Oryctolagus cuniculus: one gene and its partners. The protein of the gene in region 2 interacts with the protein of the main gene of each other region in a biochemical or structural test. Links are inferred from orthologs where the notes say so. Each region holds a gene or a part of one and is shown on either strand. Other genes may lie near its edges.

Region 1 (4,245 bases), on a different chromosome or scaffold from region 2:
CTAGTTAGTCAAGGGTTCAAATCATCTTCATTGCACAATGTTGACCGAGCACTCACAGGATACCTTAGCCCAGGTACACTCCAAAGACAATATTCATGCCTTCACAGCAGGACTGTAAGTTGTAAATTATAAACTGCAAAGCATCCCTTATTCTGGGGAAAAAGCAACGATCAAGGGGAGAGGGGTTGGTTTTAGACGCTTTCCAGAAACTAACTATGATCTGGGATTTTACCAAAGCATGCTTAAGAGGATCTGCTGCAGAGGGCAACAACCAGCTCAGGTTGTGGTCTTTCACCGGAACTTTGTATAAGAACTGACATTCTGGGGCCAGCATTGTATTGTACGCAGCACAGAGGGTCAAGGCACAGGCAGCAGGTTAAGCTGCCACTTGCAATGCTGAGTCTCCTTTTGAACAGCTAGTCTGAACCCAGGCTGCTCTGCTTCCAATCCTTATTTACTAATGCAGGGGATGATGGCCCAAGTACTTAGCCCCTGATACTCTCTTGCGAGACCAGGAAGGAGCTGAAGCCTCTTGGCAGCATAGGCCAGGCCCTGCCATTGCAGCCATTTGGGAAGTGAGTCAGTGGATGGAAGAAATATTGTTACTCTGCCTTTTGAATAAATACATCTTTAAAAAGAATTCCCAGTCTTGTACAAGTTACACAATCTCTGTGCTTCGAGCGCGTTACCTGTAAAGCAGGCACGCCTCATTCATTAATCCCAAAGCCATGCCTGAAGATTCTTAGCTGCCTGGCCACGTGCTAGCCAGGTTCACAGAGGTGAGGACCAGTTTGGGAAGTTAGTGTTAATGTGCCCACACGACGATTCACAAGCTGGTTTCACAAAGACTTGTACCTACTGTAAAACGTTTAGTACTGTAACTCCCAAAGGGAAATCTGAACAACAGGTTTGCTTAACATGTACCCTACCAAAAACAGGTAAGCGCTTCTTACGTGCCAACTGTTTTAATGCTTTGCCACTAAAGACGGCTTTAGGATGCAGAGGGTCCTAGCTTCCTGCCGGCGGTACAAACGACTTACCTTCCTTTACAGACACACCTGGCCTCAGGGACACAGTAGGCGTGTCTCCTGTTACAACCTCCCTCAAAAAAACCCCTTAGGCCAAGTCACCAGGATTGGGGTGGTGCGGGGCGGGATGGAGGGGACTGTGAGCTCACACTTACAACAAAGGGCTGGGCGCAACAAACTCAAGCGCCTTAGGTCTTCCCCCAAAGCAGGGCAGCACGGGATACCCCACCCAGCCCCAGTCACAGGAGCCCAGAGGCCTCCGCCCTGCTGACAAAAGAGCTGCGAGGGCGCGGTCGCGCGCAACCGGCGTGGCGCAGACACAACAAGGCAGTAAAACCCGCCCCAGCGCAGAGCCACGTGACAGCCCGCCGCGCCCCGCCCCCTCCCCGGTAGGGCTGGGTGCGCCTCGAGAGGGGCGGGGAAGCGGATGGGGCGGGACGGACTGGCGCCGACCGGAAGTGACGAAGCGGCGTCTCTCGCTGCGCGCAGCGACGTGGCGGCGGGGCCGGCGCCCGGCTGCGGAAGTGGCTCCCGCGTTGGGACTTGAGTGTTTGTGTTTTGGTTCTTGAAGGAGCCGGCGGCCGGCCTGAGGGGAGGAGGCGGAGGAGGGAGGAGGAGGAGGAGGAAGAATTCGTCGGAACTTGAGCGCCGGCGGCGGAGGAGGAGAAAGGAAAGAGAAAGGCGGAGCGCGGAGAGGCGGAGACGGAGCCCGGCAGGGGCGGCACCACGGCTCCAGCCCCGCACGGTCCGGTGTGAGGCGAGCGACGCGAGGAGACGCCGCCGTCGCCGCCACAGCCTCCGCTTCGCTGCCGTCCTTCGGGCCACGCTTGCTCCCTGCCGCCAGCAAGCTGCGGTGCCGCGGCCCCGCGTGCCGCAGCCGCAGGTAACCAGACCAGCCTTCCCCTGTGCAGAGCGGGTCTGGAGCTGGGCTGAGCCGCGGTCTCCATCCTGCCCGCGGCTGTGCGGGCGGCGGGGCCCCCAGCACGTCCTCCCCGACTTGCGCCCGTCTCCGGGACCACAGAGCTACCGCACCCGGGCCTGTCGGCCTGCCAGCCCTGGTGACTCATGCCGCCAGGGGTTCTGGTGGAGACCGCGATTTGGGGACTGGGTGAGGGAGCCGACGGGTGTCACCCTCTTCCCTTCTCAAGATGGCGCCGCGGAAAGAGTACCGGAGGCCGTGGTTCCGCCCGGCCTCTCCAGACAGCCCGGGGGTCCCAGGGAGAGCCGTGCAGGTTTAAGGGAGGAGGGTGGCGGGACGGCCCAGAGCCCTGGCGGGTACTGTTTGTTCGGGCGATCCGGAGTCGGCTCTCAGCTGCTCAGGTGTTGCAAGCAGGGACCGGGGCCTAGGGCAGGTGTGGATCTGGGGAGCTCCGCCTACCTTCGAAAGATGGGTAATGGAAGGGCTGGGAGGCTCAGCCAGACAACCGCTCTGGAGACTGGCAGGTGGCGAGCCGCAGCTTTAAGGAAATTAAAGGTAACTGGGCCGCCGTACAGCTCCCTTGGTGGGTAAACCAGGAGACCTGCCCTGATGCTGTCTTCCCTGGGAACTGGTCAGCCCCTCGAGACTTTCAGACTTTTTAAGCTCCTAGCATCCTAGTTTACGTATTTGATTTTTTTTGGCCTGGCTTAAGTGGAATCAAACTGTTACACTACTCCGGGAATATTCTGGACTCCTCAGAAACTTTGTTCTTTTCACTGTCGAATGCAGATAGTTTGAACACTTAGGGTTGTTGTAAGCAAAGTACTTGGTAACCATGCCAGGCACAGAATGAGTACCCAGTGATTTTTTGATCAAAGAGGACCTAAAAAGAGCAAAAGAGCACTACAGAACACTAGTTATTTCCAAGTTTAAAAATGCATACAATGCAAAGTCCTTGTTTGGCAAAACTGGGAGAATTCTCAGTAAGTGTGAATACGAGTAAATGCACGCAGTTTTTACCTTGTTAATATTACGCTGTTTTTGATTTATTTCCTGTTAGAGATCCTTGTAGCATAAGGATTCAGTGGCTTCAAAACTTAGAAGGCAAACGTAAATCACAATTTTGCTTGACTTTTTTATGGGTGTCTGGTGTTTTCCCTAAATTTTCAGAAGTACTGTAGAAATTCAGAACATGGTATCCTTGATAAATGATCAGCAGTTTTGTAGATAAGAGGCTGTTGGGAAGTGTTTCAACTATGTTTATTCCTGAAAGCGAATTGGTGCGTTTTCTGCCTATACGACATTCTATTGGTGTTTGACATGTAACCAAAGGGCCACTTTAGTTGTCCATTCAAACCCTGCTGTATGATAGGTACTGTATTAGAGATTATATATATTGTATCACGTGATTAACTGGCAACTATGCAAATTATGTAGTTTGAAAATTAAAAAATTGGCCCAGACAGAAATTGGTACTACCAGGATTAAACTCCCAAGTTTACTGTGTTTGGGACAGTATGGGGAAGTAGTTTTATTTGTACCTTATGGTGTGTGTTCGTTTGTTTTTAAGATTTATTTATTTGAAAGAGTTACACAGAGAGAGGAGAGGAGAGATCGAGAGAGGTCTTCCATCCGCTCGTCCACTCCCCAGATGGCTGCAACAGCCTAAGCTGCGCTGACTCAAAGCCAGGAGCCGGGAGCTTCTTCCTGGTCTCCCATGAGGGTTCAGGGGCCCAAGGACTTGGGCCATCTTCTGCTGGTTTCCCAGTTCATAGCAGAGAGCAGAATCAGAAGTGGAGCAGCCTGGACTCGAACCAGCACCTGTATGAGATGCCAGCACTGCAGGCGGCAGCTTTATCCTCTATGTCACAGTGCCAGCCCCTGTACCTTATGTTTGGAAGCAGCTTAAACATCATTTCATCTGTAAATATATCAGCATGTACTGTTAAAGACGCTTCAAAGCTGGAGTTTTAGATAAAGCCAAGAAGTGAACTTAATTGTCTAGAATTAAGATATCAATATATTAGTGAATTGTCAATAATATGTCTCATAAAAACTAAAATTTTATAGGGAAGGCGAATTTCTTATATGAGGTAACTCAGTGAAGTATAGCTACATTTTTAGAGAGGAAATCATATTTAGTATATTAGTAAGCATATAATCATATTTTTATTAAAGATGTGAATAGGTTGAAAAGTGCTCTTCAAATATTTGCTAATTCCTTTGAAATTGAAAATTAGCACATTTGGGAGCCTTGGTTGTGGTTGTGATGTAGCAGGTAAGCTGCCACCTTCAGTG
Region 2 (3,575 bases):
CTATCTCATTCCCACTCCCTTCCTGCTAGTCCCCACCCCGTGCCACCATGTCTGCATTTACTTAGGGTTTTGAAAAGCTGTGGAAAAAAATAAATAAAAGCTCTGGATTATTTTTAATGTCATTCAAGTCAGAGGACATTTCAGAGTCATGAGAACTCTACGAGATTTTTTTTTATTTTTTTATTTTTTTTATTTTTGACAGGCAGAGTGGACAGTGAGAGAGAGAGACAGAGAGAAAGATCTTCCTTTTGCCGTTGGTTCACCCTCCAATGGCCGCCGTGGCCGGCGCACTGTGCTGATCCGATGGCAGGAGCCAGGTACTCATCCTGGTCTCCCATGGGGTGCAGGGCCCAAGCACTTGGGCCATCCTCCACTGCACTCCCTGGCCACAGCAGAGGGCTGGCCTGGAAGAGGGGCAACCGGGACAGAATCCGGCGCCCCGACCGGGACTAGAACCCGGTGTGCCGGTGCCACAAGGCGGAGGATTAGCCTAGTGAGCCGCGGCGCCGGCTATGAGGTATTGATATTAGATGTTAATGACATTTTGGATTAAATGTGATATTTTGTACTAGAGTTTTACAGGGATGGGGAACGTTGAGCTGGTGAAATCATTTTGTCCTTTGCCTGCCAAGGCAACCACATGTGGGACTCAAAATCAATGAACCTATTGCAGGCTAATTTTTAAGTTGATAATTTTGTACAGGCTGTGAATGATGTCACAGATACCCTTGGCAGAAAGGGATAGCAGTCACCCAGGACTTAAGGACACCAGTGATAGAGCAGTTTAGAACTGAGAATTATTTTGTATTCCTTGCCAGTTGATTGTTGCGTTTTAACTGTGGTCCTGCAGAACCGCAGCACAGGTGGCAGAACTCTGTTCTGCAGAAGCCTCATTCGTGAATCAGTGCTAGCTGTGGGGGAGCTGGGCTCTTGTTACAGTAGTGGGAGGTGTCCACTTCCAGCCCTCTTGTGTCTGAGATTCCTGATCCTGAGTGAAGCATGTTTCTCTCCATCTTTGCTGTCATTTCCTCCTTTGTAGGCAGGGCTGTGCCTTGCCTTTGGAAGTTGTGAGCAATGAACTATACAGTGTGTTTGAAGATGTCTTTCATTGTGCCTGGTTCCCACAGTGACTCGGTCCAGGAGATGTTCATTTTCTTGCTAGCCTGGTTCTCTTTGTGTTAGGTTGCAGATATATGTATTTCTTGAAGCTTTTGTAAATATTATCACCTTTATCTTCAGTAAGCAGGTAAGCAGCTATGGAGCAAAGAAAAGCTCTGTGTCCAATTGTAGATTATGGAGAACACCTGTCCAGGGCTCTCGAGAAATGAGAAGTGTTTACTTGTGAATATCAAGGGTAAATAAATTAGCACCATTGAATTTGATTAAAAATTTTTTATTTTAATTGAGAAGTTTATATATAAGTTTATAAAAGAGTTTATGAACTTATTTGAAAGCCACTGTGACGCAGAGTGGGTGGGAGTAGAGAGAGAAATGGAGAAAAATCTTGCATCTGCCGGCTCACTCCCTAAATGGCTGCAACAGCCAGCTTTGGAGCCAGGAACTCCATCCGCATCTCCCACATGTGTGGCAGCCATCCATCTTCTCTGCCATCCCAGTACATGAGCAGAAAGCTGGAGTGGAAGTGGACCAGCCAGCACACAGGCAGGCACCCCAGTACGGGATTCCAGTGTCACAAATGGTGGCTTAACTTGCTGCTCAATGACACTGGCACCTATACATGAGTTTTTCAGTGTACAGTAAGTTTTGACAAACGTGAATACTCATATAACCACCATCCCAATTAAGAGACAGGAAAAGAACACTTTCATCACCCTGGTTCCATCATTGCATTTAGGTTTTTTTTTAATTTTTTTTTTTTAACAGGCAGAGTGGATAGTGAGAGAGAGAGAGACAGAGAGAAAGGTCTTCCTTTTGCCGTTGGTTCACCCTCCAATGGCCGCTGCGGCCGGCGCACCGCGCTGATCCGATGGCAGGAGCCAGGTACTTATCCTGGTCTCCCATGGGGTGCAGGGCCCAAGCACTTGGGCCATCCTCCACTGCACTCCCCGGCCACAGCAGAGAGCTGGCCTGGAAGAGGGGCAACCGGGACAGAATTTGGCGCCCCGACCGGGACTAGAACCTGGTGTGCCGGCGCCGCAAGGTGGAGGATTAGCCTATTGAGCCACGGCGCCGGCCGCATTGCATTTAGTTTTAACACTTGTATTTCATTGGGCTCTTAAATTAGGCAGTGAAAGGCCAGTGTTGCAGTGTAGTGATAAAGATGCCACCTACAATGCTGACATCCCATATGGGCACTGGATTGAGTCCTGCTGCTCCACTTCTGATCCAGCTCCATGCTAATGGCCTGGGAAAAGCAGCAGAAGATGGCCCAAGTGGGCTCCTGCTACCCACGTGGGAGACCTGAAGGAAGCTCCTGACTCCTGGCTTCAGCCTGGCCCTGTCCCTGCTATTGCGGCCATTTGGGGAGTGAACCAGTGAGTGGAAGATATCTGATTCTAGTCCTCTGTCTGAAACTCTGACTTGCAAATAAGTAAATAAGTCCTAGAAAAAAGGAAGGAAGGAAGGAAGGTCAGAGTTATAGATGGCTGCAACAGCCGGGACTGGGCCAGGCTGAAGCCGGGAGCCACAAGCTTCTTGCAGGTCTCCCACGTGGGTAGCAGGCCCAAGCTCTTGGACCATTCAGGAGCTGGATTGAAAGTAGAGCAGCCAGTTCTCAAACCGGCACCCAAATGGGATGCTGGTGTCGCAGACAGATGCTTAATTTGCTCTGTCACAACCCTGGCTCCTGACTTTCAGATAAAGAAATAAATATTTTAAAAAAAGTGTAATAGTAAGCCTATATATTGGCCACATAAACAATCCTAATGCTCATACTGACTATTAGCTCTGTGGTATTTGTAATAGAGTGTTTAGATATTTATTGTTGCATTTCATTTGGGATCCAAGTATTTCTTGTACATTTTTTTAAACAAAGGACATGTAGTCCATCAATTATTGTTTTTGAGATTTCCCTTGACTTGTTATGGGTGTTCTAAACAGGATCATTTGTGTTGTATGTTTAAAGGTCTTGTCCAGAAGGCTAAGAAAGCAAAGAACAAGTTGTTGAAACGAGAAGGTGATGATCGAGCAGAATCAGGGACCCAAGGATATGAGTCTTTCAGCTATGGAGGGGTTGATCCTTACATGTGGGAACCCCAAGAACTTGGTAAGAAAATCATTTCATTCTGGCTACCTTGTGCTACGTAGTGTTTTAAGAAGTGGTTGAGGAAGCAGCATAAATCAAAGTGGCCTAACCTTCTCAAGAACCACGTTGAGAAATGAGGGACTGGAAAAGAAGGAGGTGTGCGTGTGCTCTGTCAGTGCTGTTCACCACTATATACGGGTGCTCTCATTGATTCTTCACTGCACCCCACGAGAACCTGCCTGGGGTCAAACAGATGGTGATCTGCACACGTGGGGTGTGATTCCAGGTCTCTGACATCAGCCTGGGCTGGCTCCATTGCTGGGCTGTCTACTCTCACCCGGGACATTGTTGACTAGGGAGAGACATACTT
Region 3 (4,184 bases), on a different chromosome or scaffold from region 2:
ACTGGTAGTGGGGGAGCCCAGATGTCCAGATAACGGAGAACCTGCTGACTCCAAAGCCCTAGTGCCCCCCATCCCACCACACCGCCTCTGTGTGTGCTGGGCAGGGGTTACAGGAAGAAGCCTCTTCTAAGAAGCACTTGCTTGGTAGGGCTGAACTTGAACTCCTGACCTCCTTGTTTCCAGTAAATTCAAGTGAAGGCGCGTCACCTCGGGCAGCACTGCAGGGCAGCCGGAGGCCCTCCCGCCCTCACTGGGGCCCAGGAGGCCCCCGAGCCCAGTGGCTTTCACTTTCACTTTCCAACCATCAGCCGGCAGGTTCCCAGGAAACTGACGGCAGTCAGATGTCAGCGAACTTGGGCCCTGCAGAGCACCAACTCCTGTCAGGGCCCCTGCAGGCAGAGCACAGGGGGCCAAGGAGGAGGCCAGGAGGCCGGGGTGAAGATGGGGGAAGAGATGGGAAGCAGAGCAGCGCCAGGGACAAGGATGGTGCAGGGGCTCAGAGCCTGCACTGTGCCCCTGATGCTCACCCTACCTGTTCATTCATTTAAGGGCCAGTCACTAGGGAAGGCCGAGGTCACATCTGAGCCCAGATCCCAAGCCTCAGCGCCATCACCTCCTAACCGCGTGGTCTTAGGCATCATCTCCAATGTGGAAATGCAAATCTCACTACCTCCCAAGGAACGTGTGAGGGACGTGTGTGAAAAGAAGTCTGCAACTCTGCAATGACCTAAAGCAATTAGCAGTTACCATCACCCTGTAGTATAGCAGCAGAAAAAAGGCCAGCTCGCTGTGACGGGCCCAGGGAAGGAGGGAACATGTTAGAGAGGAGGGGCTTCTGCCCCACACAGAGCCCTCCCTCTGCCAGGCAGGGTTCGTCCTGTTACGATGCTTTAATTTTTGGAGGCCAGAGTGGCTACACAGCCACCCAGAGCTGTACAGCCTTCCCCACTGTTCTGAACAGGGAGCTGCTCTTCCCGAAGCCTGCTTCCGAGTCAGAGCTGCAACGCAAAGAAGAACCCCTCGGACGGCCGCTCGGCCTCATCCCTGCACTGCTGCAGCGCTCCGCCAGCCACGGCCCACCCCGTCAGAACCAGCGGCCCTGCCCTCAGCCCCACAGCCCCACCAGGTCCGATGAGGAGGGCGGACAAAGTCTCCAAGGAGCCCACACGGGCTCAGGGCTCGTGATCCAGCTGTTGAGCCCAATAAGGAAGTTTTGCTTTGTTGTCCAATAAAAAGTGAAACAAGTGCGTTCAAGACCGAGCTCAAAAGACTGTAGGGACCACACACTAGCAACTGTCCAGAGCAGCAAAAAAGATCTCAAAGCAGAAACACCTTTAACACTGGGAAGCAGCAGCCAAGGGCAGTGAGGGCGGCCCAGGAACACCAGGAGCTCCGGCGATTCCGGCAGCGTGGGGCTCTCCTCCCTTCCTCCCCTGCAGATAGCAAGGGTCAGTCCTGGCCTCAGGCAAGCTGCTCCTCATTAAGGTAGTCTCTGGCCTGTACTTTGGCCACGTAACAGAACGGTCTAGCCTGGTCTGAGACAGCAGCCATTTCACACACCCAGTTCCTAAACAACAGAGTAGGATCCTATGGCAAAACAGCCGGGGGGAGGGGAGGGCAGCCCTTTCTAGCAGATTTGGGAACTCCTCTTGCTACAGAAATTAGCTAAGAACCCAAGACTGCCACTGTGCCCTCGACTCATTGGTCTGTAGTACGTCCAAGCCCCGGGGACTGAGGCGAGGCCCCGGTGAGGGTGGACCTGTTGCTGGGGCGGCGGTCGAGTGTGTGTGTCTGGGAGCAGCAAAGAAACGGTCCTTCAAGCCCCAGCTCCTCACTTCTCTGGGCTTATTCTCTCCTCTACAGCCCAGCGGACAAGGCAGTCCCGCAGAGGCAGCTTGGGGAACCGCTCACGTGCTCTCGGGAGGACAGGGCTGAGCCTGGAGCCGAGGGGGAGGAGTAGGGGAGCCAGAAGATAATGAATGGGCAGAGCCACCCTGACCTAGCATTGAGCAAACCTCAGCTGAATTCTTCAGAGGCAGGAAGAGAGATACACTCAAGAGGACAGGGCCGGGGGACAGCGGGGACAAAACAAGAAGGCTGCTCGTTCCCAAGGAGTGCCCCGCGCCCCAGACTCCGCTGAGGTCCTGGCTGGCTCTCTGGCTGGAGGAGGGAGAACGAGTCGGGAGTTGTGGGAGCACACACACTTCTATGCGCGTGGAGTCGCCTCCCCCAGACCACCCTCCCCCAAAGGAAATCGAGACAAGACTTCTCCAGGGCTGGCGGGGGACAACTGCTTCTGTGGGACCGGGGTGGGGGGGACACGGCGACAGACAGCCCTCCCCGCCACCTCTACGGGAGAAGAGGGGCAGGTTCCTGCACACCTGGCAAAGACCGGCCGATTCTGGGAGCAGGGAGAGCGGAACTCAGGGTCCCTCTCCGCCGCGACTGGACTGGACAGGCCAGAGGAGAGCCGCAGGGGTTTCCCCAAGGTTCACAAAGGGCAGGTAAGTCGAGGAAAGAAGGGATCTTCCTGTGGCCTGACGCCTGCGGAGCGCCTTAAGAAGGGGCTACGGGTCGGGGGAGGGGTCAGTATCCCCCTAAGATAGGGCTGGGCAGAAGGAAGGGCTGCCCCGCAAAGGCAACTGGGCTGGAGAGACACTGGATCCCAGGACAGGCACACTCACAGCGGCTCCGGGGACGGCGGCGTTACTTGGGGACGGGGCTCGGACAGGTTTCGCTCCTCTCCCCCCCGGCGGTGTCCCAGGCTCCGGCCTCCACTTCCGCCTTTCAGCCGCTCCGGATCCGGATCTCTACCTCCGCCCCGCCCCTCTTACTCCCAGGTGACTGACAGGGCGGAGAAGCCAATGGGAGGCCCTCCTGGCCGACCCATAGGCGGTGCCGGTGAGGGTCGCGGGAGAGGCGGGAGAGAGCGAGCGAGGGACGGCGGGACTTGTAGTTCGCAGCACTGGGCGGAGCCGTCGCCTGCTTGGGACTTGGCCTTAGGGTGGAGCCGGCTGGGGCGAGGCGGAGCCGGCCTGGGCTGCTAATCGCGTCACTGCGGGTTCCAGGAGCCCCGAGGGAAGGCGAATGGCTGCGGAGCGATGGGAGAGGGCAGACGACTGTGTGTGTAGAACTGGGGAGGGGGCAAACGTGATGTGAATGAGTTCGTACGGGAGGCCGCGTGGGTCTCGTGCACTCGCTAACTGGGAGCAGCCCCTGGCCACGCTTCCTGAAGTTGGGGGCACTGTGTGATGGGGAAGGCGCTCTGGGATGCTAGGTGACATAGAAGGGGGCGCTTTATAAACCCTCCTGCGTTGGGCTGGTCCCTAGACACACAGAACCACCTCTGCCCCTCTACCCCTCCCCACACCCGACTGGAAGCAGATACAGAGCTGGATACCTGCTGCCTCAGCTGGAATCCCCACCCCCACGTAGGTTGAGACATTTCCGACGCCTCTCCCTCAGGTTTAGGGCCACTTCTCCTTATTCTCCCCGCCCCCCCTTCCCCTCCTCAGCCCCTCACCTCCCAACACAAGCCAGTACCTCTCCTATTTCTTCCTCTCACTCCTCAGGGACGCTACCCAAAAGCCCTATGGAATCTGTCTGTGACAGCCGCCATCACCCGTCGTAGCCTAGAGGCTGAGCTGCAGAATCTGGCTGCACATCTGGCTGCAGCTGGTTAGCAGGTGCTTCTTTCTTTAGAACATCCACAGCTCCCCTCCTCCTGGCAGCCACCATCAGAGAAGTGAAAGCTGGGAGGGCTTGGGAGGGCAGGGGGCATGGGGCAGGGTGAGATTCCCACCAGGAGCTTGGCTGGTGCCCAGCTCTTCTCCCAGCGCCTGCTGCACGGAGCCCAGCAACCCCTCCCTGGGTAGGAAGGGTAGGGAGTCCCCTGGGCACTCCTTGCCAAGGCTGGAGGTAGGCCTGAGCCAGGACTCTGTCCCTCCCACATACGTGTATCTGGTGAGGGGGGGAGGAGGGCACATAACAGGCCCGTGGTGACTCATTAAGGTCTCTTCCTCATCCCTGGGGCCCCTGGTGGCGTGAATGTGGTGCCAAGTGGATTGCTTGGCTCCTCTGCCCTTGCTGGAGGTGACAACAGGGCTCTGGGGTATGGTGAGGGAGTGGCTGCCGGGCTGCCTCCTCCATAGCCGTGGCTCTCAGAAGAAGCCGGAGCCAGCAAC

What was found. The genes of interacting proteins can lie anywhere in the genome.
Region 1: the proteins of RBSN (region 2) and RAB5A form a complex in vitro, tested with the Homo sapiens proteins (3 studies listed by BioGRID, with this or other methods). The link is inferred for Oryctolagus cuniculus from reciprocal best matches to the Homo sapiens genes RBSN and RAB5A.
Region 3: the proteins of RBSN (region 2) and RAB5C form a complex in vitro, tested with the Homo sapiens proteins (2 studies listed by BioGRID and IntAct, with this or other methods). The link is inferred for Oryctolagus cuniculus from reciprocal best matches to the Homo sapiens genes RBSN and RAB5C.

The regions. Positions count from the first base shown.
Region 1 is NC_091435.1:155,566,566-155,570,810, forward strand, and holds the start of RAB5A (ras-related protein Rab-5A), read left to right. Parts: upstream 1-1,402; 5' UTR 1,403-1,417; intron 1,418-1,464; exon of another isoform or gene 1,465-1,599; 5' UTR 1,600-1,911; intron 1,912-4,245. UniProt on the Homo sapiens protein: The small GTPases Rab are key regulators of intracellular membrane trafficking, from the formation of transport vesicles to their fusion with membranes.
Region 2 is NC_091441.1:113,935,203-113,938,777, reverse strand, and holds part of RBSN (rabenosyn-5), read left to right. Parts: intron 1-3,085; coding exon 3,086-3,226; intron 3,227-3,575. UniProt on the Homo sapiens protein: Rab4/Rab5 effector protein acting in early endocytic membrane fusion and membrane trafficking of recycling endosomes. Required for endosome fusion either homotypically or with clathrin coated vesicles.
Region 3 is NC_091448.1:20,642,879-20,647,062, reverse strand, and holds the start of RAB5C (ras-related protein Rab-5C), read right to left. Parts: upstream 2,844-4,184; 5' UTR 2,685-2,843; intron 2,505-2,684; exon of another isoform or gene 1,769-2,504; intron 1-1,768. UniProt on the Homo sapiens protein: The small GTPases Rab are key regulators of intracellular membrane trafficking, from the formation of transport vesicles to their fusion with membranes.